Linked DNA regions of Anolis sagrei. The protein of the gene in region 1 purifies or fractionates together with the protein of each later gene. This does not show direct contact. Links are inferred from orthologs where the notes say so. Each region holds a gene or a part of one and is shown on either strand. Other genes may lie near its edges. The genes, in order: PIDD1 and CRADD.

What was found.
Region 2: the proteins of PIDD1 (region 1) and CRADD purify together in Homo sapiens (affinity purification with western blotting; 8 studies listed by BioGRID and IntAct, with this or other methods). This does not show direct contact. The link is inferred for Anolis sagrei from reciprocal best matches to the Homo sapiens genes PIDD1 and CRADD.

The regions. Positions count from the first base shown.
Region 1 is NC_090021.1:241,100,446-241,110,839, forward strand, and holds the start of PIDD1 (p53-induced death domain-containing protein 1), read right to left. Parts: upstream 4,671-10,394; 5' UTR 4,439-4,670; intron 1,893-4,438; 5' UTR 1,784-1,892; coding exon 1,519-1,783; intron 1-1,518. UniProt on the Homo sapiens protein: Component of the DNA damage/stress response pathway that functions downstream of p53/TP53 and can either promote cell survival or apoptosis.
Region 2 is NC_090025.1:154,663,150-154,673,360, forward strand, and holds the start of CRADD (death domain-containing protein CRADD), read left to right. Parts: upstream 1-6,237; 5' UTR 6,238-6,508; intron 6,509-10,211. UniProt on the Homo sapiens protein: Adapter protein that associates with PIDD1 and the caspase CASP2 to form the PIDDosome, a complex that activates CASP2 and triggers apoptosis.

The DNA.
Region 1 (10,394 bases):
TGGAAGCCAAATGAGGTAGGACAGAACTTCAGAGTAATTAGATGTGAACAAACTAAGGGCCCTTCCACACAGCCATATAACCCAAAATATCAAGGCAGAAAATCCCACAATATCTGCTTTGAAGTGGGTTATCTGAATCCACACTGCTGTATATTCCAGTTCAAATCAGATAATGTGGTGTTTTCTTCAGCTGTGTGGAAGGAGCCCCAGATGCAGGCGAAACATCAGGAACAGGGCCAAACAGCTCAGAAACCATACAATACTCCAGCGAGAGAAGCTTGTCTGAGAGGCTGAAGAGAACCAAAACAGATATAATTTTTTTAAAAATCATATTCAATGCAAAAAGGTTTATCAGCATACACATTCATACTTTTTAATAATGTATTGGGTTGGGTGTGTGTACACCACTGGACATTTTACAAAAGCATCAGGCATACTTAATAAAATACCTATTTTAAAAATGGCATCGCAATCCTAAATTTATTTTATTTTGAACAGAGGGACAAGCTAGCCTCTAAGAAACTCAAAGGAATATTGAAACATAAGTAAGGGAAAATAAGTTCCCCTACCAACACCTAAGAATACACATGAAGGCAAAAATATACCCATGAATTGCTACACACACAATTTTAAGTTACAGTATTAATTCCATCCTAATATTATAATTAGTCAGCAGTTATCTGTGACCTGTTAGCGGATTATTCAAAAAAATATAACGATAAACGTCCTCACATTTGAAGTTGCAGCCCAGAAAATCCAAGCTAAATTTGTTAAGTCCACAGCGGAGGCTAAAAATGAAAATGGAAATCGTTTGGGACAATGCAAATCAGATTTTGTTATTGTTACCCTGCCTATAGGGATTGTCACTGCTACTGTAATTTGAAAGAGCTTGTTCAGAGAATAAGTTTTAATATTTATATTGGAACGTGTATACTGTATTTTTAAAAGATGTATATTATTTGATGTTATGGCCTATGGGTAGTACAATAAACAAGTCATTCATTAAATATTATCATTATGTGCTGATGATGGAAAGGCTGTGCCTACCTGGCATCTTGCGCATGTCCACAGATAGTGACCCACCTGCATGGGTCTCCAAGGATGTCACACCCTGAAGTGGTGCATGCCGCTATACAGCCAAGACATCAGGGAGCAACCTCCCATCAACTGCAGTTCAATCAAAACTTTATTCCAAAGGGGATTCAGGGTAAAAACAAAGCCCTTTCAGTGAAAAATAATGGAACCTGCAAGCCTAAACAACAGCAAGTGCTGTTGAAAACCATAAGTTTACATCTGAGTAAACAGGCGATTCTGCCAAGAAAAGAATGCCAAAGACCTCATTCCTGCAGATTTCTCCATTGCATATTTACTCAAAAGGAAACCCCATGAGTTCAGTTCCTCTGTGAACATGCATATGTTTGAAACCTGGGGCTACAATTTTCTAATCCTTTCCTGGAAGCAAGTCCCACTGAACAGAGCAAAGTCTATTTGGACCAAAAATTATTGCCATGCAGTTACCTTTGAGTACAAGAGATTTCAGGCCCTTCAGGGCAGGAATGATGCTAAGGGTGGAAGCAATACAGTCCTCGTTGCAGCTCAGTCTCAGGAATTCCACCTGCTCCACTTCTTCCCTTCGCGTCTCAAACAGCCGAAGGAAGAAAAGGCAGCCCTCTGCATAGACGTCCAAGTTGAGCCGGTTGCCAGCCAAGCAAGAGCTGGCAGGCCTCTCAGCGCCCCAAGCCCCCTCCCCCAGGGGGTCCCCAAGCTCCTTCCGCCCTGCCATCTTCTGGTGTTACATTGCCCTCGGCTGTTCATGTTCCGACTTGCCAATCAAACAAGAGCTGGTGGTACCACAAATAATTAGGAGCGGAAATGTCGGAGAGAAGCTGCCTCTGGAAAGAAAGTGAGGAAGAAGAAAAACATTTTAAAAGCACACAGATTTGAAGAAATGATCAGGACCAAAAAAGGAACAGAAATTTTACTTGAAGCAGTTAAGGTATCAGATATAAATATTGCCAGAATCCAGTAAGACATCCTTTAGCTGGAAATGTATTTAAGATAAAGGTTTCCCCTTGACATTAAGTCCAGTCGTGTCCAACTCTGGGGGGCGGTGCTCATTTCCATTTCCAAATCAAAGAGCTGGCGTTGTCCGTAGACACCTTCAAGGTCATGTGGCTGGCATGACTGCATGGAGCACTGTTACCTTCCCACAGAAGTGGTAGCTATTGATCTACTCACATTTGCATATTTTCCAACTGCTAGATTGCCAGAAGCTGGGGCTGACAGCAGGAGCTCACCCTGTTCCCCAGATTTGAACTGCCAACCTTTCAGTCAGCAAGTTCAGCAGCTCAGTGGTTTAACCCACTGTGCCACCGGGGGCTCCTATTTAGTACGGATAATATGGCAAAGGGTCAAAGTGGGAACAAGAAATCTAAAGATTAAATGCATTCTGGGTGGATTAGTTACACGAGCCAACACATATTTTGATGCCTCAAACATTAGCCCTATTTCTGGGTATATCTGCCCTGCTGATTCCAAAAATGATACCAATTTTCCCCTATCAGCTGTAGTTTTTGAGATACAGAACATATGCCATATACCAGTCTTCATTTGCTCACCCACAGAAAACCTGCCTCATCACACATGGATGCACTTTAAATCCTGTTCCTGCCTCCTGCAGAATTTGGGGTTTGTAGTGAGGCTGTTAAATCCTCCTAAAGCACAAACACTAGAATTCTGCGGGAGGCAGAAACTGGATTTAAAGTGGATTCATTCTCTACTGTGATGATGTGAATACCACACCTAAGGAAGTAGAGCTGCTCCAATACAATTTTCTTAGGCCCTTTCCACACATCTGAATAAAATCCCACATTATCTGAACTGGAATATATGGCAGTGTAGACTCAGATAATCCAGTTCAAAGCAGATATTGTGGGATTTTCTGCCTTGATATTCTGACTTATATGGCTCTATGTATTTGGGGGTGGGGATGGGCTGGGCTGTTTCAAGCACCAAATCCCCATTCCACCCATTAATGCCAGCCACAGGGCCCTTCCCCACAGCCATGCAACCCAGAATGTCAAGGCAGAAAATCCCACAATATCTGCTTTGCATTGGGTTATCTGAATCCACACTGCTGTATATTCCAGTTCAAAGCAGATAATGTGGGGTTTCCTTCAGCTGTATGGAAGAGGCCTCTGATGCAGGTCAAACGTCAGGAGAAAGTCCTGCTGGAACAGGGCCAAACAGCCCAGAAACCATACAACACCCCAGTGAGGGAAGCTTGTCTTCTGCTGCTTGCACTGCTTGGTTCCGATTACAAAAAAGGTGATGATTAAATCCGTGGATGAATTTGCTAATACAGTAGTAATAGCAGTTGTTCAACAGTGGGTTAGATTACCTGGAGAGAAGTTAGAAGAGGTCCCTTTGGGAGGACCCTTCCACACAGCCTTGTAACCCAGAATATCAAGGCAGAAAATCCCCCAGTTTCTGCTTTGAACTGGGACATCTGAGTCCACACTGCCATATATCCCAGTTCAAAGCAGAAAATGTGGGGTTTCAGATGTATGGAAGGGGTCTTAGAATGTGTTCAGCACAGTTTGGATGTCTTTGGGTTGCTGTGCTTGCAAGGGGTTGGACCAGACCAACCATGGGTTACTTTCTAACTTATTATTGAAGGCTTTCATGGCCGGAATCATTGGGTTGTTGTAGGTTTTGGGGACTGTATGGCCTGCATCTATGGCAGGCATCCTCAGGGGTTGTGCGGTCACAACCTCTAAGGCCCGTCGCAAACTAGGTTCCTGCTGGAGAAACCCTTGCTAGCAAGTCCTTGATGTCATGAGCCTGCGCCTCTCTCCCCGCCCCTTTCTCCACCCCTTTCTCTTTGCGAGCGTGGTTTTTCCTTTGCTAGGGCAGCATTGCCCGCATTTTCTCTCAGTTGAATTCTGCCAACTGAGAGAAAATGCGGGCAATGCTGCCCTAGCAAAGGAAAAACCACGCTCGCATGGAGAAAGGGGCAGAGAAAGGGGCGGGGCGAGAGGCGGAGTCTCGTGACGTCAGGGACATGCTAGCAAGGTTTTCTCTCGCAGGAACAGAGTTTGCGACGGCTCTAAGGACCTCACAACCTCTGAGGATGCCTGCCATAGATGCAGGCGAAACGTCAGGAGGGAATGCTTCTAGAACGTGGCCATACACCCCGAAAAAACCTACAGCAACCCAGTACTTTCCAACTGTTGGACTCAAGTTGTAGTGTGAAGGAATGAGAGATGCCAAACTCAGGCTAAACCAGGCATAGGCAAACCTGGGCCCTCCGGGTGCTTTGGACTTCAACTCCCACCATTCCTAACATCCTACTGGAGGGCCGAAGTTGGCCCGTGCCCGCTTGTGGACGCGCGCGCCTGCACGCTCCTTTCCAGGCGTGGAGAGAGGGGAGCCTTACCGCGGCCGGGAGGAGGACATTCTCACCCGTCTCTTTCTTCCTGGGAGTTTGAGAGAGGTCACGGTTTCCAACGAGGACCCGCTCCCACACCCCCGGCCGCCTTGGCACCTTCCCGCTGCAAGAACTCCAAACTTTTCCCCTTAAAGAGGCCGCTCCCTCCCGCTTCCCCGGTCAGTCACTCCACGCGCTTCCTTGCAGCTCCCCCACGGGAGGCGGAGGGTTACTCCGAAAAGGAAGCGAAGCGGCCGGTTTGGGGCAGCGGGGAGGGGCCGGGAGAGGCGCGCCTTCCCAGCCAGAGCTCCCGCCTCTCCTTTCTGTCGCTGTGCGGTGCTTTCAAGTCATTTCTAACACTATGTAAAATGCTGCCTTTTCATAGACCCCAAGGGCCATCTCCCCAACCCGGCCCCCATTCTGCCATTCAGGAACACACAATCTAAGCACCCCCGACAGATGGCCATTCAGCCTCTGCTTCAAAACCTCCAAAAAAGGAGAACCCACCACTCTCCAAAGCGGCACAGTCCCATGTCAAACAGCGAATACCATCTGGAAAATATTCCTAATGTTGGATGTTGTGATTATTACTTACCAATAACACAGACAATCTCCGTGTCATGGTTTTTAAGCCTTTTCCTGTGGTTATTTGAGGTGCTGATTTAGAAAACTGCATTGGGTAGACCACATCAGCTTTAGTTCTGCTGTATTTAGAAAACTAGAGTTCTTAAGCCACCAGATACTACATTATCTGACTCTATCAATCCCCACCAATGTTGGTTAACTGATAGACCATTGCATGCATAAAAGGTGCAAACTTAATAGCAATTTGCATTATGACCTTATTAGGGAGTAAACTTCAAAGGGCACAGAGGGTTCACTTTTGAATGACCAAGATCTGTGTTCTAAATACTTCTTCAAAGGCACTATTCAGCTTTAATGGAATGTATGAGTGCAAACAAAGTGAAGTTTAACTCAGACAAGACAGTGATACTCCTGGTCAATCGAAAGACAGATCTGGGAATAGGGATTCAGCCTGAAAACACTGGAAAATGCAGAAAATGCAAATTGAAGCTTAATCCAGACAAGACAGGCGTGCTCTTAGTAAGTAAACAGATCTGGGAGTAGGGAGTCAGCCTGTGTTAGTTGGGTTTACACTCCCCCTGAAAACACAGATTAGCAGGTCAGGATTTGGCTCTGAACCTGGAGGTTCAGCTATCAGCAGTGACGAGGGGTGCTTTTGCACAGTTAAAGCTATTGTGCCAAATGCACTAGTTCCTAGTGATGTCTGATCTGACCACAGTGGTTCATGCCTTGGTTACATCCTGGTTGGACTACTGTAATGTGCTCTACATGGGGCTGCCTTTGAAAAGTGCTCAGAAACTTCAGTTGGTCCAGAGTTGCAGCCAGACTGCTAACTGGGGCTGGCTACAGGGAGGAGACAACTCCTCTGTTGCAACAGATCCATTGGCTGTCAACACATTTCCAGGCACAGTACTGGTTTTGACCTACAAAGCTGTATATGGCTTAGGTCCAGGTTTTTTGAAAGACTACATCTCTTTGTATGAACCTGGGAGGCATCTATGATCTGCTGGGGAGGGCATTCTCTCGGTCCCACCACATGCTCAAGGGCAGTTGGTGGGAACGCAGGAGAGGGCCCTTTCAGTGGCTACTACCAGGCCGTGGAGCTCCCTTCCAAGAGACACCAGGATGCCCATCCCTGCTGGCCTTTTGAAGGCAGAATGTAGACCTTTATGTGCCAGGCGACACTTGGGGAAGGACAAGGTGCAGGCTTTGGAGAGGTTGTGGGTGGGATTGTGAGTTTTAAATGCAATGTTAACCTAAATCCATGCAGTACTATTTGTTTTTAAATTTTTGTATTTTCTATGTCTTAAATTGTGCTGTGATTGTGTGACTGTTAGCCGCCTTGAGGCCCCATTGGGGTGAAAGGCAGGGTACAAATAACATAAATTAATAAACAAAACTGCATGTCTACTCGGGATATAATCCCAAATCACACACCTGCCATTTATCAAGCCGTTCCCGTCAGGAGCCGAAGTTCCAAAATCTACTCCCAGTTCACAAAAAAATGTTGTTCAAGAGTACTCTTCGCAGAGAAGGCTACAGACTTTGTCAAAATGTTCACAAACTAGATTAGACATGGGTAAACTTCATCCCTCCAGGTGTTTAGGACTTCAACTCCCACAATCCCTAAGTATTGGAAATAGCAACCTTCCAAGCCCCCACGGACTGTTTGTTAATGTATATACAATTGTTAGCCTGCATTCTATGTGTGTTTTGATTTGTCAGTTTGGCTGTACCTCTTTGATGTGGGAGGAGTTATAGATGTGATTGTACTGAGCATGTGCAAACTCAGGACTCCTTTTTGTGTTCTATATGCTTATAGATTTCAATAAGAGAAGTTTGGTTTCAGACCTCTTTGGAGGTGGATGTGTGTGCTCATGAACTTACAAGACTATGTGCTTGTACACTGAATATATACAAGTTTGTTACTAAATAAGATATTTTGTTTTTCAAAGACTACTTTTCCCCCCGCCTTGAAGGAACCTGCTGGCCTGAGCCTCCCTCCAGCCTTGCGTGCTCTCCCTCGCACTATGCTGCCGTGTGCTGAGCATGCCTGCTCTCCCCTCTCCACTTGAGTGCATGTTTTAAGGGAGTGTATATCTTTTGGGCAACAGCAAATTCTACTTCAAACAACCATCTTCTTTTATCCAGATATATTTTTTGAAGTGGCTTGTCTTTTATCCTTGGCTGTTTAAAGACATGTTCCTCAGTTTAACAGCCGAGCTACCTGTGTGCTGTTACATTGTTTTATGAGTATCACCTTGTCTTAAGGGTTATAGCCTGTGCTTGACGGGGTTACACTCCCCCTGAAGGCGCAGGTTCGCAGCTTGGGAGTGATCCTGGACTCATCACTGAGCCTGGAACCCCAGGGGAGCTTTTGCACAATTAAAACTTGTGCGCCAGCTGTGCCCGTATCTTGGGAAGTCTGACTTGGCCACGGTGGTACATGCTCTGGTTACATCCCGTATAGACTACTGCAATGCTCTCTACGTGGGGTTGCCTCTGAAGACTGCCCGGAAGCTACAACTAGTACAAGAGCGGCAGCCAGATTACTAACGGGAGCGGGGTACAGGGAGCATACTACTCCTCTGTTGCGCCAGCTCCACTGGCTGCCAATCAGCTTCCGAGCACAATTCAAAGTGCTGGTGTTGACCTATAAACTCCTAAACGGCTCTGAACCTATTTACCTGTCCAAACGGATTCTCCCCTATGAACCATCAAGGTTGTTAAGATCTTCTGGAGGGGCCCTGTTCTCAGTCCCACCACCTTCGCAATCGCGTTTGGTGGGGACGAGGGACAGGGCCTTTTCGGTGGTGGCCCCTCGGCTTTGGAACTCCCTCCCGATGGAGATTAGATCTGCCTCTTGCCTCCTGAAGTTTAGAAAGCAGGTAAAAACATGGCTTTGGGATACTGCATTCACAGATTGATGACTGAGTCAATAACTACTGACCTTTCTGGCGGATGGTGATGAATTTGTGATTCTTTTGGACGAACTGATTTTTGCTGTAATTTGTATGAAGTGTATTTTAATGTATTTTATATTGATGACCTATAATGTTTTTCTTATTGTATTGAATTTTATGTTGTTAGCCAGCCTGAGTCCCTCCCCAGAGGTGAGAAGACCGGGGTATAAAAACTCTAAATAAATAAATAAATAAATAAATAAGGGGTGACTTCTAACAAGGCCATACTTTTTTTTTTGGACTGTTGGTTTTCAATAGAGATTCACATTTGCCAAACGGAGGTGACACCATTTTTACCTTTGCAGTAATTTCCAAAAGATTATGGACATTCCAATACTAACAGCCTACCAGCTTTTAGGACTTGTGGGAGCTGAAATCCAAAACACCTGGAGGGCTGGTTTGCCCATGCCTGAACTAGATTCATTCTACACCCTGACTCTAAGTCAGGCAGGCAGGGGCAGATTTTGGCCTTTCCTCCAGGTGTTTTGGACTTCAACTCCCACCATTCCTGACAGCCTCAGGCCCTTTCCTTTTCACCCTCAGCCGCTTTGGGAGGAAGGCCAAAATCTGCCCCTTCCTGCTCTAAGTCGAAGGGAAGCTTCCCGGAAGATGACTTTTATAGCGCAGTGACGTGGCTGCTGCCAATCATCCCATTGGCGATTGGATCTTTTTCCACCAATACCCAACCGGTTTACTGGGAGGTGGCGGGAAGAACCCCGCGCTGTAGGCTCCTCCCCTTCCTTTTCGCCGTTGCCGTCGTCGAGAGCGCACGTCCCGAGGCCCGGCGTTTGCCCAAGAACGCGTCCAAGTAGGTGCTTTTGAGGGTTCCCCCCCGCCCCCCTGTAGTTGGATGCGCTCGGGTCGCATGCCGTCTCCTTGAGCCCGTTGCGCGAATGTAGGGGCTGGAGTGGACGATACCATGTGCGGCGGCTGGGGAGGGGGGGGGTGATATGGCGGCCATGTGCTTCCTGAGTCCTAGGAAAAGAAGGAGGAGGAGGAAATGGTGGCGGCCTCCATGAACGAAGAGGGAACATGAGCAGCTCGATGCCGCGTGGGGAAGGCCTCTGAACCTACTTTCTTACAGTTTGAAGCATTTGGCTGCAAAGTATAAGAAACTTAGGCGGAAGCAAATACTGAGAAATGAGAGAGTGCCTTTTCTCTTTGGGAGGCCTACTCTGATCAGCTTTCTGGAGTGGCTTTCACGCCCTTTCTTCCCCTTGTAGGGCTTTACGACGCAGTAAAGGCATACCATGGTACTTTCCTCTACTTTTGCTGTTCTGCTTTCTCGGTTGCAGCAATCATGAGGGCATCTACACTGTAGAATTGATGCAGTTTGGCTTCGCTTTTAGGCTCAATGCCATGGAATCCTAGGAGCTTCGGTTTAGTGAGTCGCCAACACTCTTTGGTGGAGAAGTATTCCCTAGCATTTGAGCTTTGGCACTTAAAACAGTGTTAAACTATATTAATTCAAAACAAATAATAATAATAATAATAATAATTTATTTATTTATTTATTATTTCAACTTATATGCCGCCACTCCCCTAGGGCTCGGAGCGGCTTACAAGAATAGCTAAAATCTAACAAAATTTAAAAGCAGTTTAAATAATAATAATAATAATAATCTTTATTTATACCCTGCCACCATCTCCCCGAAGGTGACTCGGGGCGACTAACATGAGGCCAAGCCCGAAGATACAATATCTATATACATAAAAATTTAATGTTTGTTTGTGGGATTAACATAATTCAAAAAACCACTGGACAAATTGACACAAAATTTGGGCACAATACACCTAACAGTCCAACAAGTGTCCATCACCCATAAACACACATACACACAGAACCCCAGTGGAACAGACTTAAAACCCCCAAAAATCCACCATATATACATATACACATACACTCATATACATATGCACACATTCATACACACGCGTATATATGCACAAACACACACAAATATACACACGTGTATATATATATACACACATACCCACATATATACATGCACACATACATATACACATGCACGCACATATACATGCACACATACATATATACATATAAATACAAATATGCATATAAACAAGCACACACATATACACAATATGCATGTACACCTATAAACACACATATATATACACACACAAAAACACATATACACAGACGGCCACAGCAATGTGTGACAGGACAGCTAGTAACTGAATAAAATACAAAATTCAGACAACAAAGCCACATCAGAATAAAATACATAAAATAAATATAACAAATAAATGTCATATAAATCGAACAAAATGGGCAGGCCAAATGGGCGAGGTAAAATGATAAAACCCTGGATGAGGTAAGAATACAAAAAAGTGTAATTGAGAGGAGCCCAAAAGGGATGAAGAGTGGCATTAGTCTTTCAGTTTAGAAA
Region 2 (10,211 bases), on another chromosome or scaffold:
CAAGAAAGGATGGGATCATGTGAAAGGCTTCTAGTGAAGGAAGAATGAAGATGGACTAATGGATCAAGCCTTATCCTCTTCCCTGATGCTTGTCTTGTAATGGGATGGAGCATTTACCATTTTCCCATGGGTACTGATGACTCCAGTATTCATCTGTGATGATAACTCTGCTGGCCAAGCCTACAACTACTGAGAAATTACGTCTCCTCTTAGCCATATAATAACTGAGAGAGATGACTGTTAGGGACTGGACAAGTTAAGTGTAGAGACATTTCACTCTTCTGTAGTATCCAACCTGGAATGCTGCTCTGGAGACAAATGAAAACAAAACGCAGTCTGGTTGCATATATTGTCTATGCTGTTGTCTTAAAACTAGCATGACCATGTTATCAATCTACAGCAGGCAAAAAAACCCGAAAGTGATCAATGTTGTCTAAGTTCTTTATTATTTTGTGCAATGAAAAGCATTACCAGTACAAAACACAGTTAAGGGTATAATTATTTAAAATAATAATAATAATAATACTTTATTTATACCCCGCTACCATCTCCCCAAGGGACTTGGTGCGGCTTACATGAGGCCGAGCCCACAATACAACAATACAAGCAATAACAATAGCAATACATGCATTTAAAATAAATCACATCGACAATAACGTAAGCATTGACAATAGTACAAGACACTTTACAATCTATGGCTGGGCCAAATGTAATTAATTTAAAATGATGCTGGTCATGGACGAGATAAGGAAGTGGGGTGTGGTGTCATATCTCTTGAACCTTCATAGTAAAATTATGAAGATAGCTGTGATCAGCCTTTGAAGTCTGGCATTATTGGGATTAATTAATCTAGATTTTGTTGGTAACTGTTGGCAAGAAGTACTTTGGCTCTTGTTTTGACTTCAGACCCTGTGTAATAACCTTAAATATGCAATGTTGAACAAAATACAAGTGATCATTGAAAAACGGATTCCCTCGCTTTCAAAATTTATATGATGCTAAGGATTATCCAGTGGATAACCACTTTTGCCACCATTTAGGCAAAGACAACACTGAGTAAGTGTTGAATGAAATACGGCAATAAAGTTAATATAAAACCCCTACAAGAGACATACAATTTGTAAAATATTGATCGCTATTTCCGTATGTATACATTTCACTAAAATGAGTTACAACCCTAATTTTATGCCCTAGCTTCATAGCAACATGTCTAAAACTTTGTCAAATAATTGACAAGAGTTTTTAGACACATTGTTGTGAAGCTGGGGCATAACTAGTTGCAAGTCACTTAATGACCTAGTTCAGATAATACAAATAAGAACCACTGGCATATATGCTCAACTGCTCCCAGTAGCAATAGGAGTCACTAAATGTTATTAGCATGCATCCTTGGCTTTGTGTCTTTCCCATGCAATGGCTAGAGCAATTGAGCAATATACACCAAAGCACTGCTCTTAACTAACCAACAACTAGGGTTCCCCATGCATCTCTGGCATATCATCAACCCTACCCATAATAAATCAGCGGTTGTATCAGGATTTGACACCAAGCCAAATTCCAGTGTTCCATGTGCTTTTGAAACTCCCATATTATTGGTAGGCCGTTCTGTTTCATAACCACAATGGTGTAATTAAGAACTACTTATGGGTAGGTCACCATGCTCTTTGTGGGTGGTTTGTGTTTTGAAGAAGCACACCAAAGTTACTTATGCTGACATACATTGGGTCAAGAATATCTACCATTCTGTCCATATCCTCCTGTTTCTAGTGCATTTTTAACATTTAAAAGATCTAAATACTTTGAGAATGTCACTATTTTAGGCAAATCTAGTATAGACTTGTTAGGAAAAGCAATGTTTCCACTAGATATTCCTCTCCTGAGTTTTCCTCTTCCTTCTCAGAACGAGCACAGGCAAAGAGCAAAGGCATAATGTATCTGCTGTATTTTTTCTCTCCCCCACTCAATATGTGACTTGAGTGAGAATTTGGTAATTTCAGTTGATTCAACAACCTCAAAGGATCTCGTCAGCAGTTCTTCTTTCTTGGAACCATAAAAAAGATTTTTTGCCAGTAGACTTGATTTTACATTTATCTGTGATTATCCCTGCACAACCGCAATGGAGTGCTTAGCATATTTGCTCTAAATTTCATTATAGCATGCAACATGGACTTTTCACGAACAGGAGGCTAACCAGCATTCAAGTCACATCCTTGTGTAAAAAGGATGAGATGGCTTGGCCCAAAAGAGCATTGAAGACAATGAGATAATACAAGGTTAACATTTCTTCAGCCCACCATAAAGGTTATTGAAGATCCTAAGAAAGGCCCTAAAATAGTCAACACGAACATGGAAGCATTGCAAGTTTCAGTAAAGCTGAGGGTAATTTTGGAATGATGCGGAAACCTATGTATTTGTTCCCAGTTCTGTTGTTTGAAAAGCTGTGAGATCCAAATATTCTTGATTTCAGCTCCTCAAAGCGAATAGGGATTCTGGAACTTGGAATCCAAATCCACAGAGGATCAAAGGTTGACAACCACTGCCATCAATAATGCATATAAATGATATATAATAAAACAATGCATAAGATATCATTTAGATGTCTTATATATTATTTGGACAGTAAAAAGTGGAGCTTCTAGCTAGGAAGACTGGATAATATATTCCAGTAACATACCTATCAGCATGGTTTTGTACTATGCTTTTTCGAAGGGAGCAAAACATAGTCCAGCTGGAAGCAAATCTTACATACTCAAGATATGTGATTTACATATACTGCAATGGCAGCAAAGTTGTACAGCTTTAATCCTAATTTTGCCACAATCTTCAGATATACACTCGTCTGAGTTTATGCAATAAGCATGTTCGGCTAGATAGCAAGTAGTAACTGATGTGACTCGCACATGTGACATTGGACACATTTTTGACATTTGATATATTGTCTTGGAAGCCAACGCTGCCATGAGTTATGAAAGGAAACAGCATGCAGTCAAACTGGGTGTGAGTCATAATTTTGTCATTTATTAAGTAACATATTTTTAAATAGGAGTATAAAGTTAATCCTCTTGGCTTAAATCAGCCTTCCCAAACCAAGTACCATCTCCATTGGGGATTCTGGGAATTGTGGTGCAACATATTTTAATCCAATCCAATCCAATAGATCTTTATTGGCATATATATAGCAAAACAGTAAAAAAACAAAACAGTATAAATTGTAAAAAAAGGAACTTCCTATTTGTTTGAAAAACAAAGGCAATAGCATAACTACTCTATGGAGCTCCCATTTGGTTAACCCCTAATAATAGTGCCATCAGATCTTTCCACTCGAAATTCCTCCACAAATTATTTGGCATGCCAAACTACATCCCATATGCAGTTCTATGTCTAGAATCTGGCCAATACTCTATAGAAGTCACTATATTTTTAAAACACCAGGTTTGGAAAAGCAGGGTTATGCCTTACACCTTCTTTCCATGTGTTCAGATGACTCTCCAAAACCTTCCTTTTCAATGCTACCACTAATCAGCTTTGTATTTCAGCACAGCTTCTCAGAATGTATATTGTCTGTGTTGTTCATGCCACTAATTTTTCCTTGTATGTCATTTTTATTTTATTATTTACTCTGCATAAATAATAAAATACAGATGAGGGAGAATTGCGAAGAACTTTTTGTAACCCATTATGCCAAACATTTGCATTATCATTAACTGGCACATAGTTCTTTAGTTCACTTCTAAATGTGTAGTACTTAAACTGAAAACAAATTTTCCTTTTATCCCCATTATTTTCAATTGCCACTCAAGGTACTTCTATTTTTTCAGTGTGCATCAAGTTTTCTTTGTAATTAGTGTTTTAAGTGACTCATCACTGGTTAGATTAATTAAAGACCTTTTGATCAACCAAAAACAGACCCTTGCAACAAAACAACTGAACATATCCCATTAATTTCTAAAAATACAAATACTTATAACATTACAGGATAGGAATCATTTTGAAAATCAACTGGACATGAAAGAAGACTCAATGCTTCCTGAAAGCTCAAGGGAAAAACAAAACAATTAAATTATTTGAGGAGACATTTATAATTTGAGACAACTTTTTCAAATGGAATGAAGTCCACAAATAAAGTTATTGTACTGAAACTATTTTTATCACAAGTACCTGCTGTTCAAATAATTTTAAAAATACCCACTTTATGGTTGCTTTCAACATGAATGCATATTTTCAGTCCTGTAAATTCTTTTGCCCATACATACAATGTTACAAGAATGCAATCTAAAAACACTACCTTGAATTTACATATATTCAATTAAAAGCATTGCTTAGTGTTGTCACTTACAAAAACTAGTACTCCTCCCATAACCAGTTAAAAACATAAAACTGTTTTGCCGGGTTGAGATGACTAGAACAGCAAAGAAGATATTACTATCAGGTTAGTTTTAAAGCACAACCCAATAGCATTTACTTAGAAGTTTGTGTATGTTTAATGAAAAAGCTTATGAGTTTTAACATTTACATAATATTTTCCATATTTTAATGGGTCTAATAAAGGCATTGCTACAGTGTGTTTTGGGAAATAAATCCCAGATTGATAAACTGCACACTCTCTCAGCCTTTGAGGCAGATGTGGAACCCCTTCTGTACAAATCTTCCCAGAAAAACCCTGTGAATGGTTTGCCTACAACAAAAAGAGAGTATACTGTTTTTGGAGGGGGGAGCAAAATACATATATTATAATTATAAAGTAATTTTTCATTGAATTTCATTTTTGAAGGACAGAGCTCTAAAGTTAGACTTTAAGATTCTGCATAAATAATAAAATACAGATGAGGGAGAGTTGCAAAGAACACAGTGAGTTGCTGTGAGTTTTTTTGGGCTATTAAGGGTGCATTAAAAAAGGGGGGGGGGGGATCCCAGAATTATAAACTGTTAATAGAATATGAAATTTTTCAGAATAAAATCCCCAAAAGAAAGCCCTTAGAATTATGAACTGTTTGGGATATTTATACCCTGCTTTTCCCTACCCTAAGGGGAACTCAAGACAGCTTACATATGTCAATTGTTTAATGCCTTATATAGACACCAGAAGTGACTTGCAGTTTCTCAAGTCGCTCCTGACATGACAAAAAAAAAAAGACACAAAACAAATCTAGAATTATAACCTGTTAGGCGATTCTCTGAGGTCAGGGGCACAGACTCCAATAAATAAATAAAAAAAACCCACAATTTTAAAAATTTACCCTGAGAATATATCTCGAGAAATGTCTCAATCTTGCAGTTTGATTATACGTATGGCCAACTTCCACTGGAAACTAACCATAGAATTGCATTGGAGGACATACACAGCCCGAGAGGCATTCTTTCTAGAAATCCCTTCCAGAATGACAGAACGAAGTTGACTATTGTGTTACATGGGAAGACCTACAAATTTCTAGAGACAATATTTTAATCAAATCCGGAAAAGTCAAAACTCCAGAAGTCTGAGATGACTCTAAATCAGGCATGGGGCAAACTTGGGCCCTCCAGGTGTTTTGGACTTCAACTCCCACAATTCCTAACAGTCTCGGGCCCCTTCCTTTCCCCCCTCAGCCGCTTAAACGAAAAGGAAAAGGAAGGGGAAAAGGAAAGGGCCTGAAGCTGTTAGGAAAAAGGAAGGGAAAAGAAAAGGGCCTGAAGCTGCTAGGAATTGTGGAAGTTGAAGTCTAAAACACCTGGAGGCCCCAAGTTTGCCCATGCCTACACTATATACATGTGTGTGGGGGGGGGGGGGGGATTCAGAGTTAAGAACAGTTAAAGGTTTGTACATCTTTTGGGAGGAAATGAATTCTCCATTACAAACTTTTACAGGATATACACTCACATAGATATACAATCAAAAGTTTTCATATATAGGAAACAAATACAAAATGAATACGTATTACATTGTATTCATTTTGACTTCCTGTGTGTATAAACAAGGGATCAATATGTAGAGAATATTTTGTACAATTGTGTAATTAATCGTTTGTGAATAAAGGTAAATTCAGCTACAATTTCCCATTTTCCCTACATATGGCGACTTTTGGAACGCAATGAATCTATATTTATTTACATATATATTTGTGGGGGAGGGGTCACCCCATATATCTTCTCAAGGTCTGATCCCAAGCCTCTCCCAGTGAAACTCCCCTCACCTCGAAACAGGAAACAGAAGTAGCTCTAAAAGGCTTTGTAAACCTTTCTTTTCCACTTGGCTCACAGCTCTGCGAAGTCCCGAGTTTATGCCTACTTTTGTTCCGCGAAAGCGGTCACGTTTCCTCCGCGGCGTCAAAACGATCCCTGGAACTTCCGGTCCGGGCAAGAAGCTATGTCTGTCAGGTTACAGTTTGCCCTGTGTCCGTCCTTTAGCTTCTGCCCTGAAGAAAGATGGCGGCCGCCCACTTCCTGTTCGGCGATTCTTCCTACAGGGAACATGGTAACCTTTGCCGTTCCCACCAGGGTTTTTTGACTTATGATTCCCGCGCTTAGAGTTGTAAGTACTTTCACATAAAAGGTTTGACTCCGGATTGGGCAGTTTCTTCTTTCCCCCTTTTTAAAGCTTCCTTTGGAGGTTTTCTCTGCATTTCTTTCCCATTTTTAAAGCCTATACAAGCTTCCTGACGTTTCCTACGCGTTGTTTATTTATTTTCAAAACAACGTTGAAGGGATCTACTTACATAACCTGAACTCCCATGAAAGGTTTTCATTTGGCATAGGTTTAATATACTGGACTTTATTTTAATTTAATATTTTGTGGTTTTATTGCCAGGCTCTTGCTACTGTACATGTATTGTCTTTGCAAAGATGTAACACACAGGACGCCAAAGCCTCAAGTGTTTAAATAACAGAATAAAAATGCTTGACTGTGTGGACGTTTCAAAAAGAAAAAAAGTAGTTTAAAACACGGCAAATAGGCAATGGCCATAAAATTGAGTCATTGAGCAGAGAGTAAACGTTAGGGTTTTCCGCACTACGTATATGTATCTCCATAATTGTGTAAGCCAGGGGTCCTCAAATTTTTTAAACAGAGGGCCAGGTCACAGTCCCTCAAACTGTCGGAGGGCCGGATTATAATTTGAAAAAAAATGAATGAATTCCTATGCACACTGCACATATCTTATTTGTAGTGCAAAAGCCACTTAAAAACAATACAATCATTTAAATCAAGAACAATTTTAAGAACTATAAATTTTTTAGTATTTCAGTGGGAAGTGTGGGCCTGCATTTGGCAGATGAGATAGGATTGTTGTTATTGTTGTGTGCTTTTGAGTCGTTACAGACTTAGGTTGACCCTGAGTGAGGGCCGGGTAAATGACCTTGGAGGGCCGCAGCCGGCCCCCGGGCCTTAGTTTGAGGACCCCTGGTGTAAGCTATCATACTGCAACCATAGGACATTCTAGTTGATTATCATAAAGAAACAAACATTAAAGGCTATTTGTAACAAAAAATACAATTTAATAAGAACAATCCAATGGGTTGTTGTTGTTCATTCGTTCAGTCGTTTCCGACTCTTTGTGACCTCCTGGACCAGCCCACACCAGAGCTCCCTGTCAGCTGTCACCACCCCCAGCTCTTTCAGAGTCAAGCCAGTCACTTCAAGGATACCATCCATCCATCTTGCCCTTGGTCGGCCCCTCTTCCTTTTTCCTTCCATTTTCCCCAGCATAATTGTCTTCTCTAGGCTTTGCTGTCTCATGATGTGGCCAAAGTACTTCAACTTTGTCTCTAGTATCCTTCCCTCCAATGAGCAGCCGGGCTTTACTTCCTGGAGTATGGACTGGTTGGATCTTCTCACTGTCCAAGGCACTCTCAGAACTTTCCTCCAGCACCACAGTTCAAAAGCATCTATCTTCCTTCGCTCAGCCTTCCTTATGGTCCAGCTCTCACATCCGTAGGTTACTATGGGGAATACCATTGCTTTGACTAGGCGGATCTTTGTTGCCAGTGTGATGTCTCTACTCTTCAATATTTTATCGAAATTGGTCGTTGCTCTCCTCCCAAGCGTCTCCTGATTTCCTGGCTGCAGTCTGCGTCTGCAGTAATCTTTGCACCTAGAAATACAAAGTCTGTAACTGCCTCCACGTTTTCTCCCTCTATTTCCCAGTTATCAATCATTCTTGTTGCCATAATCTTGGTTGTTTTGATGTTTAACTACAACCTAGCTTTTGCACTTTCTTCTCTCACCTTGGTTAGAAGGCTCCTCAGCTCCTCCTCACTTTTGAAAAATGTATTTGTAACATATTAGATGTTACCACTTCTTAGACTATGTAATGATGCATGCTAGAGACTGCTGCAACGGGCTTCTCACAAGAGTCATGACAAGGGCTGCTGGCTGCTGCACAGATCACAGGTTAATTCAATCCATGTTGGCCATCAAGATGGCCCCCAAACGCAGACTCCATGGAAGAAAGATAAGACATAAAATGAACACCCAAGCAGTGTTGAACACTGCTTGAACACCTAGCACAAAGTAGCTGCACGTAATATTTATTTATTTATTTATTTTATCGTGTCATCAGCAACCATTGTATTACAATTCTAACAGAGCAAAACAAACACACAGATTAAAAAGAAAAAGGGAAAAAAACACACACAGATTTTGCAAATTTGGTATTTGGTTAAATGTCCTTTGACCAGTATCTGGCCACTTAGAGTGCCTCTGGTGTTGCCGCAAGAAGGTCTTCCATTGTGCATGTGGCAGGGCTCAGGGTGCATTGCAGCAGGTGGTCAGTGGTTTGCTCTTCTCCGCACTCGCATGCCGAGGATTCCACCCTGTAGCCCCATTTCTTAAGATTGACTGTGCATCTCGTGGTGCCAGAGCGCAGTCTGTTCAGCGCCTTCCAAGTCGCCCAGTCTTCTGAGTGCCCAGGGGGGGAGTCTCTCATCTGGTATCACCCATGAATTGAGGTGCTGGGTTTGGGCCTGCCACTTTTGGACTCTCGCTTGCTGGGGTGTTCCAGCGAGTGTCTCTGTAGATCTAAGAAAACTATGTCTTGATTTAAGTCGTTGACGTGCTGGCTGATACCCAAACGGGATGGGCTGGAGATGTCTCTGCCTTGATCCTTTCACTATTGGCTGCTACTTCCTGGCGGATGTCAGGTGGTGCAATACCGGCTAAGCAGTGTACTTTCTCCAGTGGTGTGGGGCGCAGACACCCTGTGATAATGCGGCATGTTTCATTAAGAGCCACATCTACTGTTTTAGTGTGGTGAGATGTGTTCCACACTGGGCATGCATACTCAGCAGCAGAGTAGCATAGCGCAAGGGCAGATGTCTTCACTGTGCCTGGTTGTGATCCCCAGGTTGTGCCAGTCAGCTTTCATATGATGTTGTTTCTAGCACCCACTTTTTGTTTGATGTTCAGGCAGTGCTTCTTGTAGGTCAGAGCACGGTCCAAAGTGACTCCCAAGTATTTGGGTGTGTTGCAATGCTCCAGTGGGATTCCTTCCCAGGTAATCCTCACAGCTCGGGATGCTTGTCTGTTCTTAAGGTGAAAGGCGCATGTCTGTGTTTTAGATGGATTAGGGATCAGCTGGTTTTCCCTGTAATAGGCAGTAAGAGCACCTAGAGCTTCGGAGAGCTTCTGTTCAACCATCTCAAAGCTCCCTGCTTGAGCAGTAATGGCACGATCATCAGCATAGATGAAACTCTCTGTCCCTTCTGGCAGTGGCTGGTCATTTGTGTGGATGTAGAACATGGATGGAGCAAGCACGCTCCCCTGAGGCAGGCCGTTCTTCTGTTTTCGCCATCTGCTTCTCTGGCACTGGAACTCAACAAAAAAGCTCCTGTTTTGTAGCAGGTTTCTTATGAGGCGGGTGAGGTGGTAGTCCTTTGTGATATTATACATTTTTCTCAGGAGGAGGCGGTGGTTCACAGTATCATAGGCTGCTGACAAGTCTATGAAGACAGCTCCTGTGATCTGCTGCCTTTCAAAACCATCTTCTATGTGCTGAGTCAGGTTCAGCACTTGCGATGTGCAGCTTTTGCTTTTTCTGAAGCCAGCTTGCTGTGGGATCAGACAGGGGTCTATATTTTCCATAATTCTATGCAAAATAAGTCTCTCCAGAACTTTGTAGAGGTGGCACAACAGGGAGATTGGTCTGTAGCTTTTTGGGTCATTACAGGCTTTGCCTGGCTTCAAGATGGCGATGACTCTTGCTTTCCTCCAGATTTTGGGGATCTGACAGGATGCAGTG